4 linked regions of the Callithrix jacchus genome follow. The protein of the gene in region 1 purifies or fractionates together with the protein of each later gene. This does not show direct contact. Links are inferred from orthologs where the notes say so. Each region holds a gene or a part of one and is shown in the gene's direction. Other genes may lie near its edges.

Region 1 (5,673 bases):
GGGCCTGGCCCTCTGCCCGGGTTCCAGGGCCTGGTCAGTTCCCCAGGTGAGTACACCTTACCCACAGAGAGCTTGCCCAGCCGGCGGGCTCTGTCACTGCCTGTAGCAATGGCAAAAAGATTTCTAATTTGCTGCTTTAGGTTCAAACAATATGTAAGTACTGAAAAACTACTAAAGCCTTTCTAGAAAGGGAGAAATAAACACAACAACCAGTTGTCCTCACGCAGACCTGACCCCTGGCCTGCCAGGACCTTGGTCTCTCAACCCCGATCCCTCTGATGAGGCTGAAAAACATGGCCCATCCCAGACTGAGAAGCTGTGTGCGAGACGGAAGCAAGTGTCAAAGAATGAGGGGCACGTCCAGAGGACACGGAGCCTGCTTCAGGGCCCTGCTGGCTGGATCCGGGACAATCTGAAGGTCCGAATGAGCTCTGGAGCTGGTGAGGAGCTGCAGCAGCAGGTTCCAGTTGGCACATCACAATAGCCCACATCTGGAGTAGGCCAGGTCACTGTGTTTCAAGGTAACATGATATATAACGATAGCTAACTGTTAAGCTTGAAAACTTTCCAACTAAGTTAAAAATAAAAGGAGCTTGATATCCAGCTGTGAGGCCAGTTGGGCTGTCTGCTCCAGGTGGGGCCACCATGAGTCACTTGCGGTCCCTCGTTGGTGAAGTGGGGCGCCCAGTCCCTCAAAGGCCTCTGGGGAGGGTGCAGCTGGAAGGGCTACAGAAACCCACCTAGTACCCTTGAGTGGTCTGGTCAGGGCCCCAGCCCGACTCAGCCCCATCCATCTCTCAGGTGGGGCCCCAGCCCATTGTCTCCATGAGGCAGACCTGGGCACCTCCACCCCACACCTGCCTCCAGCTCTCCTGGGCCCAGGCGGCTGCATCCTCATACCAGGATGAATGGTCACCCCTCTTGTGTCCCCAGAGCGGCAGACCTGGCCGGCCACTGGCCATCCGTCTTCCCAGAGCTGCGTATGCCCCTGTCCTCCTTGGAATCCCCCTCCAGACACTGCTCCCCCAACCTCCCACCTTTCCATCATCCAACCTGCTGAGAGAGGGACCTTCTAGAGGCCCAGCTAGCACCTGTCGGCACTCCGTCACAGTCAGGTGCACCTGGGCCCAGCCCAGCAGTGCTCGGACAACGAGCGTCCCACCTGCATACAGAGGCCCTCCCCAGCCTCCGCCCCTGGGGTGCCCCCAAACTGGAACTGCCTCCAAATCTGCCAACACCCACTTTCCAAGGCCTAGAGCAGTGCCACCCTCAACACAGCCTCTCCGACCCCTTGTTGAAATCAGTCAACCATTTCCTTCTGGCCACTGCCCCCAACCACGGTAAGCACAGGCTGCTCGGTCTTGTGACCCCCAGGCGTGTGGCGGTCCAGGACTTGAGGCCAGGTGGACGGGGGCATCACCTGCCCAAGGTTCTGAACTTGGGCTCCCGTCACCTGCAAGCCAGCGCCAGCGGCGCCCCTAAGCGCGCTCAGCCGACGCCGCGGTCCCTCCGGACTGGGGTACTGACACCTCTCCCCAGCTGCGGCCTCGGGGAGCCGCCGGGGGCCTCCTCCTGGCCTCCCAGCAAGCCCGGCGCGGGAGGGGACGCGGCCGGCCGGCCCGGGCAGCCTCACCGAGCGGCAGCAGCGAGTGGCACAGCAGCGTGGCGGCCGTGCGGCGCAGGTGGAAGGGCACGAAGGCGGCGTCCTCGCTGCCCAGCCAGCCCGACAGCAGGTTCTGCACCGTGAGCCCCGCCGCGTGGAACTCGTTGGGCGTGAACACGAAGCACACGGCGAAGACCAGATAGGCGAGAGGGAAGATCACCTCGGGGCTGTCCATCGCGCCGCCGCCGGGAAGCTGTCCGGCGAGGCCACTGTGCCCAGTCCCGGGCCTGTCGGTTGCGGGAGCGGCGGCCGCAGCCCCGCCACCCCGCCACCCCGCCACCCCGCCGCCCGCGGGGCGCTGTGGGAGACGGAGTCCCGCCGCCCGGCCGCTCGCGGGGTGCTCTGGGAGATGGAGTCCGGCCGCCCGCAGGGCACTCTGGGAGATGCAGTCCCCGTGAGGGTGCGGCCTCTTCGGGGCCGGCCCTGGAGGCGGCGCCGCACCTGGTCCCAATGCACAGCTGAGGAAACTTAGGCCTGAGCGAGCGGCTCTCAGGCCCTGGTCATGACGCCCCGCCCAGTAGCGTACGCTGCTGAGCCGGAGGTTCACCTGGCGACTGCGAGCCAGCGGTCCCAGCTTCAGATGCTCCCAACTTGTCCTCCATTCCGGAAACGAAACCGTCGGCGCACGAGGGGGCGGGGCCGGTGAGGCACGGCTCCTATTGGGCGCCCGCGTTGCTGCGGTCCCGCCCCCGGCTGCGTGCTGATTGGCTGCGTAGAGGCAACCGTCCGCGTTTGAAAGTCGGGCGCGCCGGCGGCCATCAAGGGCTGCGGTAGCGGCGGCGGCGGCGGCAGCCAGACTCGGTCCTCGGCGCGGAGCAGGCGCGGACCCCTCTTTCTTGGCGGTGGCGGCGCGGGCTCAGAGCCCGGCAACGGGCAGCCGGGCAGGTAGGCGAGCGGCCATACGGCCCTGGGAAGCTGGGGCTCCGGGGCGGGGGACCGCGAGGCTGTCCCGCCCCGCCCTCGGCCCTCGCACTCCCGCCCTCGCCGCCGCTCTCCCCGGGAAGGGTCCCCCACGGCTCCTCCCGGGGCCGCCGCCGGAGCCCGTCCCGTGCCCTGTCATGGGACCCAGCCCTGGACTGACTGCCGGGCTGGGCCCCCTGGACGGTGGCCGGCGGAGACTGGAGCTGGGCCGAGCCCGACGGCGGAGCGAGCGCCCCGAGGTCCTTTGTTCTCCTCGACCCTCTCCTGCCTCTCGGCCGCGCACTCTGGCTCTCTGTTGGCTCCCAGTTCGCGGAGCCCCTCGTTGGTTTTTGGTCCCTTCGGGCCCCCGTCCTGGTGTCAACTCCAGCTGGGCCCCGACCGCTTCCACGCAGCCGCAGCCCTCTGTGCTCCCGAGTAGAATGAACGCACCCGCTTGGGGCCGGTCCCTTGTCTGCCCAGAGCCGCCCTCGTGGCTCCATAGTCAGTAAAAGCCCCGCCTGACCAGGCCTGGGCCTGCTGCTCTCCCGCGCTCCTCCAGGCCGTCGAAAGGCTTCCTCCGAGTCACTTTCTCCCTGAGTTCCAGGCTTGCGGGTCCCCCAGCGATCCAGCACCCCTTCCCCTGCGCTGTACCCGGTTGTTAAGGCCAAAAACCTAAGCGTCGTCGGGAAGTCCCATTTGTGCCAGTGGTCGGGCTCGGGTCTGGTCTGGCCTCTCCTCCTCGGGCAGAAGCCTGAGGTTTCCTTGCTTCCCTCCCCACCCACACAGAGCACCACAGTGGGCTTCTGAAGCCACAGCACCGACCTGGCCCGGCTGCCCCTCCTTCTCCAGGACCCTCCCTAACTTTGCTCTTCGAATCACAGCCTCCCAGGTGTCCCCCATCACCAGGTGTCCGTGGGGTCCCTGCCCAGGTCGACACTCAGTTCTCTCTGGCAGCCTTTCTGCCTACGTTTTTTCTTAGACTGGGAACGCTGTAGGCAGAAAGGGTGGCAGGTGTGTGGGTGCCCAGCATGAAGCCCTGGAAGCTGGGCCTGACCGGGGGCCTGATGTAGATGCTCCTTGGCACCTGCTGCTCAGCTCTGGACTTCTCTTGTCCACGCGCCTCTCCCAGCTCCTGCTCTGGACCTTCACCCTCTCAGCCTGGTCTGGTCTTGCTCCCTAGCCTGGTGGGAGGAGCAGAGCAGAGCCGCTGTCCTGCTTTTCTGCCCTCTGCTGCCTGGTGGTGCCTCACGCCACATGCAGAGGCCTGTGGGAAGACCACGGCTTCCTCTGGATCTTCTGGGCTTCTTATAGGCCAGGACTTTCCTGTCTCCTGACCTTTGCCTGACGAAGTAATATGGCAGTAGAGGTTCTGCAAGCCTGGTTTTTCCTTCTCACTGTCTCAGCCTGAAGGCCTTTAGCTCTTGGTCCCAGGAGGCAGCAGTGCTGCCCATGACTTTCCCTGCCAGGCTGGAGAGTGAGTCTCAGTCTGAGGCTTTCTCAGCCTCACTTGGCACAAGACACCTGGGGGAGGTGTCACCTCCAGAGTGATGAGCATGCCTCTGCAGGAAAGGGTTGTGCCCCCACAGCACTGTGGGGCAGCTGGCATGTCTGTCCAGAGAACGTGGTAGTGTTGTTCTTGCACTGACACGAACATGTTCTGCTTTTCCAGAATGAGTCTGCAAATCTTAAACAAAAATGTCAGCAGTGAGAAAAGTACAGAAAACTGCGACTTCCTGTTTTCACCCCTGGAAGTTACCGGAAGATCATCTGTTCTTTGTGAGTCACAGAAAGAAAATGTGCCACCCAAGAACCTGGCCAAAGCTATGAAGGTAAGTGTGACCTCTACCGTGTGTGGCTGGCCAGGTCGCCCTGGGTCCTGCTTTCCTGGTGACCTCTGAGCTGCTGAACACTGCCGGTGTGTCTGCGACAGCTGAACTAACAAACGGGCGCCCTCCCCCTCACTCCCCCCCGACAGGTGACTTTTCAGACACCTCTGCGGGATCCACAGACGCACAGGATTCTGAGTCCTAGCATGGCCAGCAAACTCGAGGCTCCTTTGGCTCAGGGTGACACCCTGGGACTGGAAAACTCTCACCCAGGGCGGACACAGAAGGACAAGTAAGTGTTGGCACTTCTGGGCGTAGTGCAGGTCACCGCTCTGTCCGACAGCTCTTGCAGGCACGCTCTGTCCCGTTGGCTGGATTTCTTCTGAAGGGTGCAGCATGTGGTCAGTTCACTAACAGAAAAGTCGATCATCAAATACTTGGAATAAGTTTTAACTTACTTTTTCTTTTATTTTTTTGAGACAGAGTTTTGCTCTTGTCACCCAGACTGGAGTGCAGTGGCGTGATCTCTGCTCACTGCAACCTCCATCTCCTGGGTTCAAGTGATTCTCCTTCCCAGCCTCCCCAGTAGCTGGGGTCACAGGCACCCACCACACCCAACTAACTGGTATGTTTTTTGGGTGTTTTGTTTTTGTTTTGTGGGGTTTTTTTTTGGAGACAGTCTCACTTTGTTGCCCAGGCCGGAGTGCAGGGGCATGATCTCGGCTCACTGCAACCTCTACCTCCCAGGTTCAAGAGATTGTTCTGCCTCAGCCTGAGTAATTGGGACTATAGGTGCACACAACCACGCCCAGCTAAGTTTTGTATTTTTAGTGGAGATGGGGTTTCACCATGTTGGCCAGGCTGGTCTTGAATCTTGACCTCAGGTGACCCACCTGCCTCAGCCTCCTAGAGTGCTGGGATTACAGGTGTGAGCGGCTCCGCCCAGCCCGTACTTTACATTTTTGCTGTGCCTCTGCCAACAGATTGGCCTCGATCTTTGCCTGTGTAATTTGATGAAACATCTTGACTCCATCTCCGGGAAGGGCGTTCCATAGTTTCATTTCTCTTGAATTCCACGCACCTTAGCCGCTGGAAAGAGCAGACAGACTTGTGGGCAAAGAAACCACATCGTGTGATCTGCCAGTCAGTCTGCATGGTCAGAGGGATCTGTCGGGTGAGGCCTGGCAATCTGCTGGCCGACCTGGCACTTACCTGCAAGCAGATGGCGGCAGCTTCTGTGTGTGCCTGGAAAGGGAGGAGCCTGGAGGCAGCTCTTGGCCCTGC
Region 2 (5,231 bases), on another chromosome or scaffold:
GAAAATGCTAAGGGCAGCCAGAGAGAAAGGTCAGGTTACCCATAAAGGGAAGCCTATCAGACTCACAGCAGCTCTCAGCAGAAACCCTATAAGCCAGAAGAGAGTGGGGGTCAATATTCGACATCCTTAAAGAAAAGAACTTGCAACCCAGAATTTTATATCCAGCCAAACTAAGCTTCACAAGCGAAGGAAAAAGAAAATCTTTTGTGAACAAGCAAGTACTTAGAGATTTCATCACCATCAGGCCTGCTTTACAAGAGCTTCTGAAAGAAGCACTACACATAGAAAGGAACAACCAGTATCAGCCTTTCCAAAAATATACCAAAAAGTAAAGAGCATCAGCATAATAAAGAATTTACATCAACTAATGGGCAAAATAGCCCCCAAGCATCAAATGACAATATTAAACTCACATATATTATTACTAATCCTAAATTTAAATCGACTAAATCCCCCAATCAAGAGACACAGATGGGTAGATTGGATGGAAAGCCAAAACCCATTGGTATGCTGCATCCAGACCCATCTCACATGCAAGGATACACAAAGACTCAAAGGGATGGAGGAAGATTTACCAACCAAATGGAGAGCAAAAATAAATAAATAAAAAGCAGAAGTTGCAATTTTTGCCTCTGATAAAATAGACTTTAAAACAACAAAGATCAATAGAGGCAAAGAAGGACATTACATAATGTTAAAAGGATCAATGCAACAAGAAGAGCTAAGGATCCTAAATATATACGCACCCAATACAGGAGCACCCAGATACATAAGACAAGTTCTTAATGACTTATAAAGAAACTTAGACTCCCACACAATAATAGTGGGAGACTTTAACATCACATTGTCAGTATTAGATCGACGAGACAGAAAATTAACAAGGATATCCAGGACTTGAACTCAGACCTGGAACAAGTAGACTTAATAAACATTTATAGAACTCTCCACCCCAAATACACAAAACATACATTCTTATCAGTACCACATCACACCTACTCTAAAAGTGACCACAAAATTGGAAGTAAATCACTCCTCGCAATCGCATAGCATTTCACAGGTTTAAATGAAATATTGGTTGGCTGCTTGTTATTTTCCTCCCTTATTCCTTCCTGTCTCCATTGTTAAGCACAATTATTGGCATAAAAGAGGTTTTCAATACCCATTTTTAGACTGCATTCTAGCCTGGGCAATAAAGCAGTACTCCCTTTCTCTCTCCCTCTTTCTCTTCCTCTTTCTCTTTCATTCTTTTTTTTCTTTTTCTTTTAATTCTTTCTCTCATTCTTTTTTTCTTCTTTCTTTCTTCTTCTTCTTTCCTCTCTTTTTAAAAAAAAGAAAAAGAAATCAGGAAGAAGAGTCATGTCACCTGGGTGGTTGGCCAGGGATATGTTACATTCCTGATCTGAAAGGAGGGCACAGGCAGCAGAGTCACAGCATGTGGGTGCTGTGCCCAGTGATAATGTCACAGTGACTCCTGTGAGCAAGACCCAGGGGAAAATAAAACACACCACCCTGTTGCTGAGCCAAATGTTATGTCACAATCTTTCCTGTGGGCAGGATGCAGGCAGCAGAAGAGAGTCACATCTCCTAGATGATGAATGCAGAGGGATGTCAGGAGGCTCCTAAGAATGGTAGGCTAACGCCCTGTTTACAGGCATAGACAGGTACCTCCAATCTTCTAGGTATTTGGTCTAGTGATATGTCACAGTACTCAAAATATGTGGGGCCTATGCAAAATAGTCACATTACCTAGGTGCTAGGTCCAGGGAGATGTCATCATCCCACATTTTGGCATGGGCCTGGCAGAGAAGAAGGACACATCACCTAAACAAAACAAACAAACAAAAAATATGTATATATGTATATGTTATATATATATGTATATGCCTATGTATATACATTATATACATATGTGTTTATATATACATCTATGTGTTATATAGATGTATATGTATGTATATACACATATAGAGAGAGAGAGACATACACACCCAAAATGTTGCCTCTGGGTATGAGATTTCAAATCATTTAAAGTTTATTTCTTCTTTCTTGTCTCTTTTTCATTCAGCACATTTTTTTTGCTGTTGCTTTTGAGAAGGAGTCTTGCTCTGTCACCCAGGCTGGAGTGCAGTGGCGTGATCTCCGCTCACTGCAGCCTCTGCCTCCTAGGTTCAAGAGATTCTCCTGCCTCAGCCTCCCAAGTAGCTGGGATTACAGGTGCACACTACCATGCCTGACTAATTTTTTATATTTTTGGTACAGATGGTGTTTCACCATTTGGCCAGGCTGGTCTTGAACTCCTGATCTCAAGAGATCGACCTGCCTCAGCCTCCCAAAGTGCTGGGATTACAGGTGTGAGCCACCACACCCTGCCTGTTCAGTAAACGTTTATTGAACTATTGCTGTAGCCAGCCATTGTATTTTCTGAAATGATAATTACTATTTGTACAATTAAATTTGATGTTAGGAAGGATATTACAACTTTACAAAGTTTTTCATTAAATGATTAAAATAATGACTTGGTCATTAAAGTATGTTGAGTTATTTGGAAAAGTCATTTGCTTGCAACAGTACTCATGAAAAGTACAGAATAAAATTAAATGTTAGTGTAATATGCGGAAGCATTCAGCCCCTGTGATGTCAATAGGAAAAATGTTTTTTATTTGTATGAAACGTAAGTCATCTCTATCCAAGGTGGCCATTACGTGGGAAGAGAGATGTTGATTGGATGCTCTACATTGCTTTTATTTGACTTAGAAATAATTTACATAGCTGAAAAGAATTACTTTTTCATGATGATTATCTATAGATGCATGTTTTTACCTTTTTTTTTTTTTTCAGACAACTACAAGAACAGCAACGACAAAAGGAGCTGGAGCGGGAAAGGCTGGAGAGAGAAAGAATGGAAAGAGAGAGGCTGGAGAGAGAGAGGTTAGAAAGGGAAAGGCTGGAGAGGGAGCGACTGGAACAGGAACAGCTAGAGAGAGAGAGACAAGAACGGGAACGGCAGGAACGCCTGGAGCGGCAGGAACGCCTGGATCGGGAGAGGCAAGAAAGACAAGAACGAGAGAGGCTGGAGAGACTGGAACGGGAGAGGCAAGAAAGGGAGCGACAAGAACAGTTAGAAAGGGAACAGCTGGAATGGGAGAGAGAGCGCAGAATATCAAATGCTGGTAAGAAGTTTACAAACCCTTCTGTGTTCTTGTATCTGAGCTTGGATGATGTCTCTTGTGCAGTCATGTGTTAAAATATTTCACATTTGAGATGCTTGGGATTAAGCCATACAATTTGAAATTATGAAAAAAGTACAGCAATTACTGCTTTAACATTTTATTTTTGTTTCTATATTGCTTTTATTGCTTGGAGACTTAAAGAAAGCTCTTGGAAATTTTTATTCTGCCATTCTAATTATTCTAACTCCCTATAAATTGGCTATAAAGTGTAAGTGTGTTTTTATGGGAAATTTTATACTGGATGAACTTCAAATATATTTCCCATATGAGATCACATAAATTGTCTCAAATACTATAGGCTCTAGTAGCATTCAGCAAGAAATTTCCTTGATTGCATTCTAAAGTTTTTGAAGGAAGAATTAGTAAGTGAAAAATATTCTCTAAAACTGACCAGTTAATTTAAGTATGCTTTCTAGTATTATGAAAAATTAGTGAAAATTATGAAATCTGATGTTACTGAAAGACAAAAGGGTTAAGATATGGCTGAAAGTTTGAGATATTTTAACATTTATTAAAATTAACATTCATTGTAGGATTTAAGAATATTCCTTATGGCCTATATAAAAAGTCTCAATGTGGGTTAATTAAATAGTGGTTTGTTGGTTTATTGTTTAAGTTAATTTATATATTTTTAGCTACCAAATTATTTTCTGGAGTGATGGCCAACAAAACAAAACTTCCCCACAAATAAGCATCCAATAGGAGGTTTCTCACACTTTGTATTAAATGTTTTGCCAGTTTTACTAGTTTTGCTATTTGTTGTTTCAAAAAAAACTAAATTTATTCTTCTGTTTATGGTCCTATTCATGTGATTTTAATGTTCTTTTTCTTGTGGACTAAATATTAAAAATTAAGACTAATACTAGCTTTTTCTCATAAAGGATAAATAGTCAATTAAATTTATTAATCCACTTATTAGATAAAAAGGAAACTTATCCTCATCTGAATCTCAAAATGTATTTACAAGTTAAAATATTCTTTGGTGAAGATAGTTATTTGCATTTGTGCCTAATTCTCTGGTACTAACTGTAGTCTACATTTATACATTGTGTCTGAATGCTGGTTTTGTGGCTTCACTAGCTCCCTTTTTCTCTCTCCTTTTTTATCCTGTCTTTTGCTGCTGCTTTCCACCTTCTGTCCAGCTCCATCTTCAGACAGCTCCCTGTATAATGCTCCACTTCCTGAGTATTCCAGTTGCCAGCCTCCTTCAGCACCTCCTCCATCATACGCTAAAGTCATCTCAGCTCCAGTGTCAGATGCCACTCCTGATTATGCTGTAGTGACTGCTTTGCCACCTACTTCCACACCCCCTACACCACCACTGCGACACTCAGCGACACGTTTTGCAACATCTTTAGGTTCAGCCTTCCACCCTGTTCTTCCCCATTACGCTACAGCTCCTCGTCCTCTGAACAAAAACTCTCGACCTTCTTCTCCTGTGAACACACCCTCTTCTCAGCCTCCAGCTACGAAGCCCTGTGCCTGGTCTACTTCCAATTTTTCGCCCCTCCCTCCATCTCCTCCAATAATGATTAGCAGCCCCCCAGGCAAAGCTACTGGTCCAAGGCCTGTCCTCCCTGTTTGTGTTTCTTCTCCTGTGCCCCAAATGCCTCCATCACCGACAGCACCCAATGGGCTGGTTGACTCTGTAACATATCCAGTGTCTCCACCGCCTACCTCAGGGCCAGCAGCTCCTCCGCCGCCGCCTCCACTGCCTTCCCTCGCATCACTGTCACACTGTGGATCTCAAGCTTCTCCTCCTCCAAGCACCCCTATTGCCTCAACTCCCTCATCCAAGCCTAGTGTTCTCCCTTCTCCCTCTGCAGCTGCCCCTGCCTCTGTTGAGACTCCTCTAAACTCTGTGCTGGGAGACTCTTCTGCTTCTGAGCCAGGCTTGCAGGCAGCCTCTCAGCAGGCCGAGACTCCAGCCCAACAGGGTAAGGCTTTCATTATTGCTACTAACAGCAAATCACTTGAAAATGTTATCTAGCAGCAACTTTA
Region 3 (5,661 bases), on another chromosome or scaffold:
TAGAATAGTCCCTCCACATACTAGGTGCTGATAAACATTTGTCGAATGAATAAATGAGTAGAATCAGACATCTAATGCCCATCTTAAAGTAGGGATGTACCTAAGTCATCCAAGACAAAAAGGGGTTTTGCCGTCTTGTTCTAAAACTCTCCAGGACCCACACTGTACAAACATACTTTATTAAGCCAATTCCAGATTATCATCACACCCTCTCCATAAATGTGATCTTCAGTTTATTTCTGGTAATATTTAAATGAAGTAAATATGCCAACAACCAATGACTGAAGAAGACTATTTCTGTATGTCCTCATCAATTTCTCCAAGGTTACCATGACCGTATTGCTTTGATTCATTCCTTTCTTCTCCTACATGTGAATCTGTCCTCATTGCCCATCCTTTCACTCTTTCCAATCCCCTGTCTGTAGTCTCATTCACTCTATCAATGTGATCCCCAAATCTTTATCATTGATTCTACATCTATTCTTCCAGCTTCCATTGTATATTTTCTAGGCCTACTTGGACGGTTCCATTAGAATGCTTCATTGGTACCTACCAGTAAACAGGTTGTAATTTAAACTCCTCACCCTACCCTTGAGACCTGCTTCTTCTGATTGCCTACTTCCATTGGGCAATCAAATCCTGGAATTCTCTTTGACTCGCCTCCCTAAATGGGATCCACCCTCTCCTTTGCAACTAATTTAGTCAGTTGCCAAATCTTTCATTCTTTCTTGAATCTGCTCTCATTCTCTCTACCGCTAACACCTCATATCAGACGCCTTGCTGGGTTCCCAACTCTAAACCATTTTAGACAATCAATCTAATTAATGTTCCTAAAGTACAACTCTGATTTTGTCACTCTCTTGCTCAGGAACTCTTAATAGCCCCCCCCCATTATCCACTTAACAAAGTACTAATTCCATACCCTGGTATTCAGGATCCTTTAAGAACTGCTTCTAACCTTCTGTGTCAATCTTGTGTTCCACTACTTCCCAACATAATTTCAGTCCTAAAATCAACCCCACATGTTCAGTCCCATACATACGATGCACTTCCTTGTTTCTGTGCCCTGACTCACACTTTGCCCACTAGACATCTCGCTCCTTCTATGAAGGAAAAAAGAAACACATCATATCAATGGTAAAAATTTATTTTCTTCCCTGTCGAGTCCCACTTCTATTAAGTTTCTTATAATTCCAGGAAGGTTCTAACCATTTTCAGGCATGTCCTCAAACACATATATTTATAACCATATATAATAAAATCATTGCACAAGTTTTGCAACTTGCTTTTTGTTCAATTAATAAAATTTGTGCATTTTTCCACTCCAGCATGTAGATGAACCACATTCTTTTAAACAGTTGCATAGAGTTCCATTGAATGGATATACCATAATTCATGTAAAAAGTTCTCTGTTGATAAACATCTAATTTCACCCAGGCTGGAGTACAGTGGTATGATCATAGCTCACTGCAGCCTTTATCTCCCACACTCCAGCAATCCTCCACCTCCAGCTCCCAAAGCACTGGGATTATAGGCATAAGCCACCATGCTTGGCCTCCAGAATTTTTTTTTTTTTTTTTTTAATCTTAAGCAGTGCTGGCTGGACACAGTGGCTCATGCCTGTAATCACAACACTTTGAAAGGCCAAGGCGGGTGGATCACTTGAGATCAGGAGTTCGAGATCACCCTGGCCAACATGGTGAAACCCCGTCTCTACCAGAAAAAAAAAAAAAAATTAGCTGGGCATGGTGATGCAAGTCTGTAATCCCAGCTACTTGGGATTACTGCAGTAGTGCAGTAAACATCATTGGAAATTTTTCTTTTTCTTTGCATACTTGCGTACATCTGTAGGACAAATTCCTCAAGGTAGCATTAAACTCAGGAGGCTGAGGCATGCTGACGGTCAGAAATGCCCAGCCCTACACACACCTTTGGCCCTCCTTTTCGGGGCCGTCGGCAGCTCGGCCCCCGCAGCGACCGGCGTCCCCACCCGAGCTGGCAACGCCAGGTCCAGAGGGAAACACAGCAGCGCGCGGCTCCCTTAAGGCTGCAGGAGGCGCGTGCCCACAGACCTTTCAAATGGACCAATAAAAGGCTGATGGGCGGTCCGTCGAGGACCAATAAAGAACGAGGACACTGCGGGGTGTGCGGCGGCCCAAGCGGTTTCAAACGGCTTAGAGCAGGCCCCTTGGTTCTGACCCGGCTGAGGTGAGTGATAGGTGGGCCTGCCCCACCCACGAGGCCCTCGAGGGCAGGTATCGCGCGCGTACAGTGGTCTCTGGGTCCCAGGGGCGGGGGGGTCTTCAGAAGCGCGCCGCCCTTGTCCCACGAACCCGGCAGGTCTGAGGCGGCGAAGCGGGGCGGAGGCCGGGGGACCTGCGGCGGGCAGGGCGGGGGGCGTGGGCGCTCGTGTGCGGCGGAGGCCGGGGTTGGGCTCCGGGTGGCCAGAGCGCACCGCAGCAGGGCGCGGGTGGCAGTGCCCGGGAAGCGCGGGCGGCACCGGGCCGCGCCTGGCGGCTGCGATATACCCGAACCAGGGCGGGGGCCCGGGGAGCCGGCCCTGCTAGAGTGCTCCTCGCGTAATTGTCAAGTGAATGAATAAGTAAGAGCCTCCTAGGGCTGTGGTGGTTGAGAAGGGCCTTGTCGTCTCGGAGCGTGACGAGAACGGCGGTATTGGGGCCTGGCCGCACACCTGTGTCCCCTGCCGGCTTGCTGCGATGTGAACGATTCCGATCATGCACCACCCCGCCCTTAACGTTTGTTTGGCTTTCACTCTCTCAAGGTGTCGGGAGCGTTCAGGTGTCCTTCTAGCCCTGGAGATGTGGGGGAACCAATACAATAGCCAGCAATGTGGGGTCCAGCAGGCCTTGCTACTTTAAGGTCGGGGCTCAGTGAACTGGATTCTTAGTTTTGAGCTCTCCCCTACTAGTTGTAATGGTGGTCATTGTTGGGCAGGATTGAAATGCATTCCGTTCTGTTTCTTGGATAGAAAATGGTGAAAGGGATGTTGCCAGAGTGGCTAGTGTGTGTTAGAAAATATATTCGTGTTGATGAATCTTAACAATGAGTTTTTCATTCAGCATCAATAGAAGTTGAAGTGGTTTTTGCAGAACTTGCCCCAAATTTATGCATGGCTCTAATTTAATTCTCATGGGACCAGGACATCAAATCTTGGCCCAGAAATGCTGCCTGTCTTATGCATAATTATAGTAATTGAAAACTCATTTTTAGAAAGGTGAGCTCCTCCTTCCTCCATTTTCATCACCCTGAAAAGTCCTTCTTTGACCTAACGAGCCAATAAATGAAGCTAAGAATCTTTTGAAACTTTAAAAAATTGTAAAGGATTTTTGACTTAAGTGACTGGGCAAACTGTAATGCTTTTATAAACTTTAGTGATATAAAGGTGGAAGCAATTTATTTTGCCAGCATAAGTTAAATCTAGTTGATAAACTCATGCAAAAAAAAATTTTAAATACATTTTTAAAGGCTGTTCACTGAGGCAATGACAAGCAAAGGTATTCCATAACAATTAACATGACTTTTATTTTATTCTCCATTACTTTAAAGTGTTGATCAGCTTTGAATTATGAACAGTGGTGTGTGGTAATTCCATCGCACTTTTCTACAACTGACGGTTCAGTTTTAGCAGCAGCTGTTTTTCTGTTTTTTTTTTTTTCTTTTCTTTTTCTTTTACCAGTTTATTGTAAAGGATGCTACAAAGGATAGAGATGAAGAGAGGCATAGGTCTAGTAGGTGTGAGAGGGGTGTGGAGCTCTCACATGAAGTATGTTTGAATATACCAACTCTCTTATAAACTTTTATCTTAATTCCATCAACGCTTTTCTTTCTTTCTTTTTTTTTTTTTCTTTTTGAGATGGAGTCTCACTCTGTTGCCCAGGCTGGAGTGCAGTGGCATGATCTTGGCTCACTGCAACCTCTGCCTCCTAGGTTCAAGGGATTCTCCCACCTCAGCCTCCCAAGTAGCTGGGACTACTGGTGTGTACCATGATGCCCAGCTAATTTTTTGTATTTTTAGTAGAGACAGGGTTTCACCATGTTGGGCAGGCTGGTCTCGAACTTCTGATCTTAAGTGATCCGCCCACCTCGGCTTCCCAAAGTGCTGGAATTACAGGGGCGAGCCACCACATCCAGCCAACCCTCACTTTTCTAACTGCAGCTTCCATTAGGACCTGATCAACAGGTTTTGTTTTTGCAATTCTAGGTAGGGGAAGTGTTCCCCAGCCAGACATATTATCCATTCCCATAAAACATTTATGTATAGGAGACACGGCTTCCAACTTTCGTAGTAGTGTCAACACGTTTTTGTGTTCTCTCTCTCTCTCTTTTTTTTTTTTTTTTTTTTTTTTTTTTTGAGATCAGATCTCACTCTGTCGCCTTGGCTGCGGTGCAGTGCTGCAATTATGGCTCACTGCAGCCTCGACCTCCAGGGCTCAGGTGATCCTCCCATCTCAGCCTCTGAGTAGCTGGGACTACAGATGTGCATCACCATGCCTGGCAAATTTTTAAATTTTTTGTAGCAACGAGGTTTTACCTTGTTGCCCAACCTGGTCTTGAATTCCTGGGCTCAAGGCGTCCTTCTGTCTCGGCCTCCCAAAATGCTGGGGTTACAGGTGTCAACCAGTATGACTGGCCTTCTCTTAATCTAGTTGTAGCCCTCTTCAGGGCTTCACAAATGGCTCTTGGTACCACTGTGCCTGGGGCTTCTATATGAAGGAGACCCAGGAATTTCTCTTCACCACTCCCTGACCATTTTACCTACTTGTATACAGAAAACTTGGGGTCCTCATCCAAGAGACACTTGCCCATTTGTCAGTTTTTTGTTTTTTTTGAGATGGAGTCTTGCTTTGTCACCAGGCTGGAGTGCAGTGGTGCAATCTTGGCTCATTGCAACCTCCGTCTCCTGGGTTCAAGTGATTCCCCTGCCTCAGCCTCCGGAGTAGCTGAGACTATAGGCACGTGCCTCTACACCCAACAAATTTTTTGTATTTTAGTAGACACAGGATTTCACCATATTGGCCAGGGTGGTCTCGATCTCCTGACCTCATGATCCACCTGCCTCAGCCTCCCACAATGCTGGGATTACAGGCATGAGCCCCCACACCCGGCCTGTTAGTCTTTATCTTTTTGACTCACCTGCTTATTGCCCCATCAATTTCAGATTCGATTTCTCATTATAATCTGCCTCCTGACTTAGAATTTCTCCAAACTGGGGTAAATATAGCAAACCTGGTTGGAACCCCTTAATATTGGGAAACTACCAGGGGCTCCCTTTGGCACCCATGCTAGTCTTGAACCCCTGGGCTCACGTGATCATCCAGCCTCGTCCTCCCAAAGTGCTGGGATTACGGGCATGAGCCACCACATCCTTCTACCTTATTTCTTAATAACCATTTAAAAATTTCCACCTTCCATGATGAATCCATTTGCCCTCTGTCTCACTATTCTCTTAGCCTAATGGTTTTATTAGCATCTGTAAGTCCTATGAGAGGAAACAGACAGCACATTTGGTAAGGCTTCTCGAACTGTCTTTTGATTTTGCAGTGGTAAGGTTATCCACATTAAGGAGTCCACCCTTAACCACCGCATTTACCATGACCTGGGTAGTGGGCATTTTTAGAAGGTAAATGTCCTAGTCATCAT
Region 4 (5,926 bases), about 46 Mb from region 1:
TATGAACTTCTCTACATATCTAAATATATTTACTCTTATGTTTTGCAACCATGAGGACGCAACAGAATCCTTTACTTTTTGGTCCTGGAAGAGATAATTGGAGATCTACAACTTACAAATCCCAAAGTAAATTAAGGACCAGAGATTAAGAGACCAGTGATGAAGGTCAAGTGCATTTATGCTAGAGCTAGCACCTCACATCAGGCTTTCTGATTCTTAATTCATTGTTTCACACTACAACAAGCTTTTCTTTCCCCACAAACGTTAGTGCTCACTTCATAATGTCCGGTGAACTATTCTTTTCAAGGAGTATATTTAAAGCGTTCCCATTAGAGAAACTGACTAGTTGGAATCTATTTTACAAAGCATTGAATGCAAGTGAAAACTGCTATACATGAAGTAGTCATGATTTTTAATCCTCCGGCAGAAAAGGTCATAGACTGGTCAGAAACAGCAATGATATTTAGATGTTCACTACATAGATAATAAATATTACTTGACAATTATGCTAGCAAACAATCACATTCTTTGACTAGGCCTGTATAGCTAGAAAAATACTCGACTTATAGTTAGCCAGCAAACTTTTAACACGGTAAGTTTTTTGCTATGAATAAATAGCTACTTGGTTTTAGTAGAACTTTCAGTCTACTTAACTTTCAACAAACCAAGTATTGAGTGTCCACTGTATCAGTGTACTAGGCATGGTAAGAAAAAATGAACAGTCTCCTCAAATCAAGTAAACTGACAAAAACAAACAAAAAGTAATTCGTAGAAAAAATGCAATTTAAAAAAAGTGCAAACACCTGTTGAGAACTATTGATCAGGTAGTGCTAGAATACGCTAGAATAATTAGATTTTTGTGGAATTGTAGGGAATAGCTTTCCCGAATGAGTGAGTATGGGTTTTAAGATAAGGAATCAGCTATGGCAGGCAGGATATTCCTCGCTAGGAAAATATGACACTAGAAGAACTAAAGGGTAGAGGCAGGTCAGTCATGGCTTGCGTCCACACCCAGGTGTAATAGGACTGGATCATTGTTATTAAGCTAAGGATGGAGATGGCAACTGAAGAAAAGCTGCAAACACAAGCCAAAGCAGTTCACAACCGAAATCTGAAGACCAACGAATGTGATCAAAACAAAGCATTTAAGTTTTATTTGGGTTTGCTGCCACATTATAAAGGCAGACTTCACATTCATACTATTTTCTGTATTCTTCAGTATCTGTCACCGTGCTTAAGTGCTTTTCATACACAACTTTTGTTTGTTTGTTTGGAGACGGAGTTTCGCTGTTGTTACCCAGGCTGGAGTGCAATGCACGATCTCAGCTCACTGCAACCTCCGCCTCCTGGGTTCAAGCAATTCTGCCTCAGCCTCCCGAGTAGCTGGGACTACAGGCGCGCGCAACCATGCTCAGCTAATTTTTGTATTTTTAGTAGAGACGGTGTTTCACCTTGTTGACCAGGATGGTCTTGATCCGTTGACCTCGTGATCCACCCGCCTCAGCCTCCCAAAGTGCTGGGATTATAACAACTTTTTAAAAAGTCAAGACACACTTGATCCAAAGAGCAGCCTGTGAGTCAATAAACGGAGAAAGGCAGTAAATAAGTGGTTTCTATCGCCCAATTCTGCGCCAGTATGCTGTAAACTTCAAGTCGGGAAAACTGTGTTTAAACGGATGAGATAATGCCTTTAAAAGTGCTTAGCACGGTGTCTGGCCAGTAGGAAGCACTCAAGAAATTATGATTATTTGACCTTGGACCTCTCTTAACTGTCTGAAACTGGGGTTTCTTATTTTCAGGAAAAGAAACAGGACACAGGCAGTCTCTCAGGCTCCCGTCAGCCGAGACAATTTCCAATTAAAAACAGGCATCGATTAGATAGTTGCTGAACAAAGTAAATCGTCTCTCTACGGCTGGGCTGAGCGCCCACTGATATCCCGCCCGGAACGGTCCGAAACGCCGAGACCAATAGGCGGGGCTGATCGAGGACCGTGTGCGCCACCTCAGCCCCGCCCGCGCCGAGCCTTCGGTTCGCCTACAGGCCTGCAGAGACCCTCCCTAGCCAGCCCGGCCGCGTCCCACATCCGCCGGCACGCCCCTTCCGGCCTAAACCCCGCCCCGTCACGGGCCCGCCCCGCCCCATAGGCCCCGTCCGTGGCCCCGCCCCGCCGCGAGCCGGCGCCGGGTCCTCTCAGCGATCGCGGGCGGTCGCGTCCACCCCCGACGCTCTGAGGTCACTGACTGGGCCGGACTGCGGGGGGGCGGAGGGACGGAGGGAAGATGGCGGCAGAGGCCGGATATTGGCGCCGCCTCCCCCAATCCCGGAGCCGGCGCAGATGAGGCAGCTTGGCTGGGGCCAGCGGCGCTTTGGAACCCGAGCTGGGGGTACCCTGGCGGTGGGGCCTGGTCCTGCTATATGCCGGCGCCTCGGCTAGAGTGAGCGGCGGCGACGCCTCTTTCCTCCGGCTCTTTCCCTGTCTCTGCGAGAGCGAGCGGGCGGCTGAGGCGGCGGGGCCGGGATGGAGGACGTTAACTCCAACGTGAACGCGGACCAGGAGGTGCGGAAGCTGCAGGAGCTGGTGAAGAAGCTGGAGAAACAGAACGAACAGCTGAGAAGCCGCTCGGGGGCCGTGCAGGGTGCCGGCTCTATCGGGCCTGGCAGCCCGGTTCGAGCCGGCGCCTCCACTCCCTCCTCTGGAGCGGCGTCTCCTCGGGGCTTTCCCTTGGGCCTCAGCGCCAAGTCGGGCGGCGGGGCCGGGTCGGGCCCGAGGCGGACGAGTAACGAAGAGCTGCGGGACGCCACCTCCTTGTTCGCGGCGGGCGAGGGCAGCTTGCTGGACGAGGTGGAGCCGCTGCGGCCCGACGAGCTGGAGCGTTTGTCAGGCTGGGAGGAGGAGGAGGAGAGCTGGTGAGCGCGGGGCGCGGGGCGCGGGGCCGGAGCTGGGCGGAGACGGGCCCGGGGGCGGAGAGCGTCCTCTGAGGGTCCCTCTGGTCCTGCGCCTCGCTTTGTGTAACCAGGTTCGCTCTGTGGTGGGGGACTCACGGTTTTTTTGCTTTGGCAGAGGGAAGGTCAGCTGGAGTTGGGGGTTCGAGGCGTGCGCAAGTAACAGGGTTTTAGCTCGTTCTTTGGCTTGTGGACTCTCTGGGTGCTGGATCCTATTGGGGTCTGTCGGTTGGCGCAGGTTGAGAAGGGCTGTTCGCCTGGGGAGGAGTCGGAATTGGGAAACTGCTTTGTAGGCAGGGATCCTGCTTTGTGTAAGATACTGGCTTTCGGATGGTGGCCCTGGACATTTTGGATGTAGGGGAGGGGTCTGCTTGATGAGGTATCACCAGGTGCTGGGGGTCGGGGGCAGTACGAAGTCGTCTACGTCTATGCAGTGGTTAGTGTGTGGGACCCATTTCTGTCGGGTATGGGGAGACCGTGTGGATCAGCACCCCCGCTTTGGGTAGTGGGGTAAAGCTTGCTTTGTGTGAAGAGGGCAGAGGATGGTGCTGCTTTGTGTGAAAAGTCAAGGGTGGAACAAGAGCCCTGGCTCTTATTTTCTAAAACAAGAATTGAGTCTGGCGTTTTGCATAGGTCTGTATTGAGTTATCACATCCATCTTTCATTTCCACGTCCTCCTAGGGGCAGAGAAAAAGAGTCCTATTTTAAACTCTAAACCAAAGCTGTATTGTCATAAGCTACTTCTTTATGAAATTGTGATCCACACCTTAATAATCACTTTCGTAAATAGAAAGGACATGGGAGGCTTTCCCCCTCATTTTATTATAAAGATGTCTGTGGGAAATTCCTTCTCTTAAGTTTTAACTTTTAGTTAAAATGTCTCTGCTCTGTTAAAATTAAAACTTCTGATTTAGTGAAATACTCTGGTATTTCAGGGTTGGAACTTTGCAGTCTTCTGAGGTTATTTAAGAGCTTTCCTGGATTCAGGCCCTGGTTTTGCCACTTACTAACTTTATGACCTTGAGCACTCTGAGCCTCACTTTGTTCTTCTATTTGATGGAGAAAATAATAGCACTTACCTCTATAGAGTTAATGAAAATTTAGTAAGATAATCCATGTAGGCATTTAGCACTGGATCTGGCACATAGTAAACTCTAAAACTAGTATTTGTTTTCAAGCCTAGTTATTTAAATCAAGAAATATTTTGTGAGCTTTTACATGATGATGTAGGAGATGCTGAAGATTGTGTTGATACGTGTTCATAAGGCAATTATAGTTTATTGAGAACTAAGTTTTGTGCAGTTAAGTAAACTGGAAAGTGTACAGTGAATTACCACCTAAGAAAGACTTGCTTTCTTTACCTTAACAAAGCTCATGTTTGACTCCTGCTTACTGTTTTGATCCTAGCTTCATATCTTGATATTATAGATGTCATATATTCTTCCTGAGATTTGTGTGAACTGAAAGTTGGATAAATCATTTAAAATGCACTGGGGTATGTGTTTAGGGTAAAAGTTGTAGGGGGAGGTTGTAATTTTGTGCAGTTAATAAACTGGAAAGAGTGATAAAACAAAAAGTACTGACGGTGCTCTGTAACTGGGAAGAAAATAGTAGTCCAAAGTAGTTGGACCAGACTTAAGGAGGTGACTTTGGAGTCTGTAAGTGACGAAAGAGCGGGAAGGGCATTTTATGCTCTGACAGCTACAAGGGCACAGTCGGAGGTATTTGTAACTCCCAGTTAGAAGATTTGAGTAACAGAGGTATTCTTAAGTATATAATGACAAGCCTTTATTTTATTACCACGTGATATCAAATGTTATTAGAGCTGACTATGGTAGTGACAGTTTTTGATATAAATGTGAAATTGCATTCTCCCAGAGGAATCCTGGGTATGTATGCACTTGAAAAGAACCCAGAATTATGTAAATATTGTCACATGGCTCTTGCAAGTGATGATAATAATGATGCTCATAATAATGAGGATTAGCTGCACTCATCAGCCCATTTTAGATTATGTATTATTAGAACACATGGAGTCTACTTGGAGAAGCCGATTAAATCTTTGGCTGCTTTGGTTCCTGAACATGAGCTTTGTTAAGGTAAAGAAAGTCTTTCTTAAATACTATACCTGGAGTTTCTTTTGACTAGATGATTCCTGCTTACTGTTTTGATCCTAGTTTCATATCTTGATATTATAGATGTCATATATTTTTCCTGAGATTTATGTGAACTGAAAGTTGGATAAATCATTTAAAATGCACTGGGGTATGTGTTTAGGGTAAAAGTTGTAGGGGGAGGTTGTCAGTGGCAGGAAGATTCAAAGTAGATTTTTTTCTTAGCAAGCTAAAAATCTACCTTCTGTAACTTCTAGTTGTTGCACTTTCTTTTTGATCTAGAGGAATGAAATTCCTTGGATGTAGAATTCCTCCCAAGTGTGTGTGCCACAAAGTGCTAGTTCTGAAGATGTCCATAAGTGCCATGTAGAAAAAAAGTGGATGGGTTCCGGGGGTTGAATAAATGCAAGAAAAACTGGGTTCAACAAAAATAAACAGTTTTCTTTAATGCTAGGCTCTTGGAGATGTTAGTGTGTTTTGAACATAGTAAATCTCTAGAGAGTATGGTTTGGTCGTAAACTTAATGAGCTCCCAAGGAGCTAGTATCTTACAGAACACACATAGAAAACAGTGCTCTACAGCAGTCACTTTCACACTTTTGTTTTTTTGGACTCAGCTTCATGATAAGAAATAAAATTTAACTCATCATCTGGAATTTACATGTATATGAATAACTGAAGCAAAAGTTTCACAAAAGTATGATTACTCTTACAAGTGATATGCTTTGATATTTTCCATTCTGTTCTGTTTCATTAGAAAAAAATCCTGGTTATTACCCAGCTAAGCTGATTTTGTAACCCATTAACAAGTTGCAATTCTCACTTTGAAAAACACTGTTCTAGAATAACTCAGCAAAGTCTAGGGACGA

Evidence for each region.
Region 2: the proteins of TACC3 (region 1) and ENAH purify together in Homo sapiens (co-immunoprecipitation; 3 studies listed by BioGRID and IntAct, with this or other methods). This does not show direct contact. The link is inferred for Callithrix jacchus from reciprocal best matches to the Homo sapiens genes TACC3 and ENAH.
Region 3: the proteins of TACC3 (region 1) and CKAP5 purify together in Homo sapiens (co-immunoprecipitation; 5 studies listed by BioGRID and IntAct, with this or other methods). This does not show direct contact. The link is inferred for Callithrix jacchus from reciprocal best matches to the Homo sapiens genes TACC3 and CKAP5.
Region 4: the proteins of TACC3 (region 1) and SLAIN2 purify together in Homo sapiens (co-immunoprecipitation; 3 studies listed by BioGRID and IntAct, counting the BioPlex papers as one, with this or other methods). This does not show direct contact. The link is inferred for Callithrix jacchus from reciprocal best matches to the Homo sapiens genes TACC3 and SLAIN2.

What each region holds. Positions count from the first base shown.
Region 1 is NC_133504.1:191,422,477-191,428,149, reverse strand, and holds the start of TACC3 (transforming acidic coiled-coil-containing protein 3), read left to right. Parts: upstream 1-2,391; 5' UTR 2,392-2,548; intron 2,549-2,634; exon of another isoform or gene 2,635-2,823; intron 2,824-2,974; exon of another isoform or gene 2,975-3,469; intron 3,470-4,232; 5' UTR 4,233-4,233; coding exon 4,234-4,392; intron 4,393-4,538; coding exon 4,539-4,681; intron 4,682-5,673. Other genes in the region: TMEM129 (E3 ubiquitin-protein ligase TM129), read right to left, coding at 1,634-1,838. UniProt on the Homo sapiens protein: Plays a role in the microtubule-dependent coupling of the nucleus and the centrosome. Involved in the processes that regulate centrosome-mediated interkinetic nuclear migration (INM) of neural progenitors.
Region 2 is NC_133520.1:23,669,675-23,674,905, forward strand, and holds part of ENAH (protein enabled homolog), read left to right. Parts: intron 1-2,838; coding exon 2,839-3,170; intron 3,171-4,372; coding exon 4,373-5,167; intron 5,168-5,231. UniProt on the Homo sapiens protein: Ena/VASP proteins are actin-associated proteins involved in a range of processes dependent on cytoskeleton remodeling and cell polarity such as axon guidance and lamellipodial and filopodial dynamics in migrating cells.
Region 3 is NC_133511.1:111,901,428-111,907,088, reverse strand, and holds the start of CKAP5 (cytoskeleton-associated protein 5), read left to right. Parts: upstream 1-2,147; 5' UTR 2,148-2,255; exon of another isoform or gene 2,256-2,340; intron 2,341-5,661. UniProt on the Homo sapiens protein: Binds to the plus end of microtubules and regulates microtubule dynamics and microtubule organization. Acts as a processive microtubule polymerase. Promotes cytoplasmic microtubule nucleation and elongation. Plays a major role in organizing spindle poles.
Region 4 is NC_133504.1:145,482,872-145,488,797, reverse strand, and holds the start of SLAIN2 (SLAIN motif-containing protein 2), read left to right. Parts: upstream 1-2,263; 5' UTR 2,264-2,519; coding exon 2,520-2,908; intron 2,909-5,926.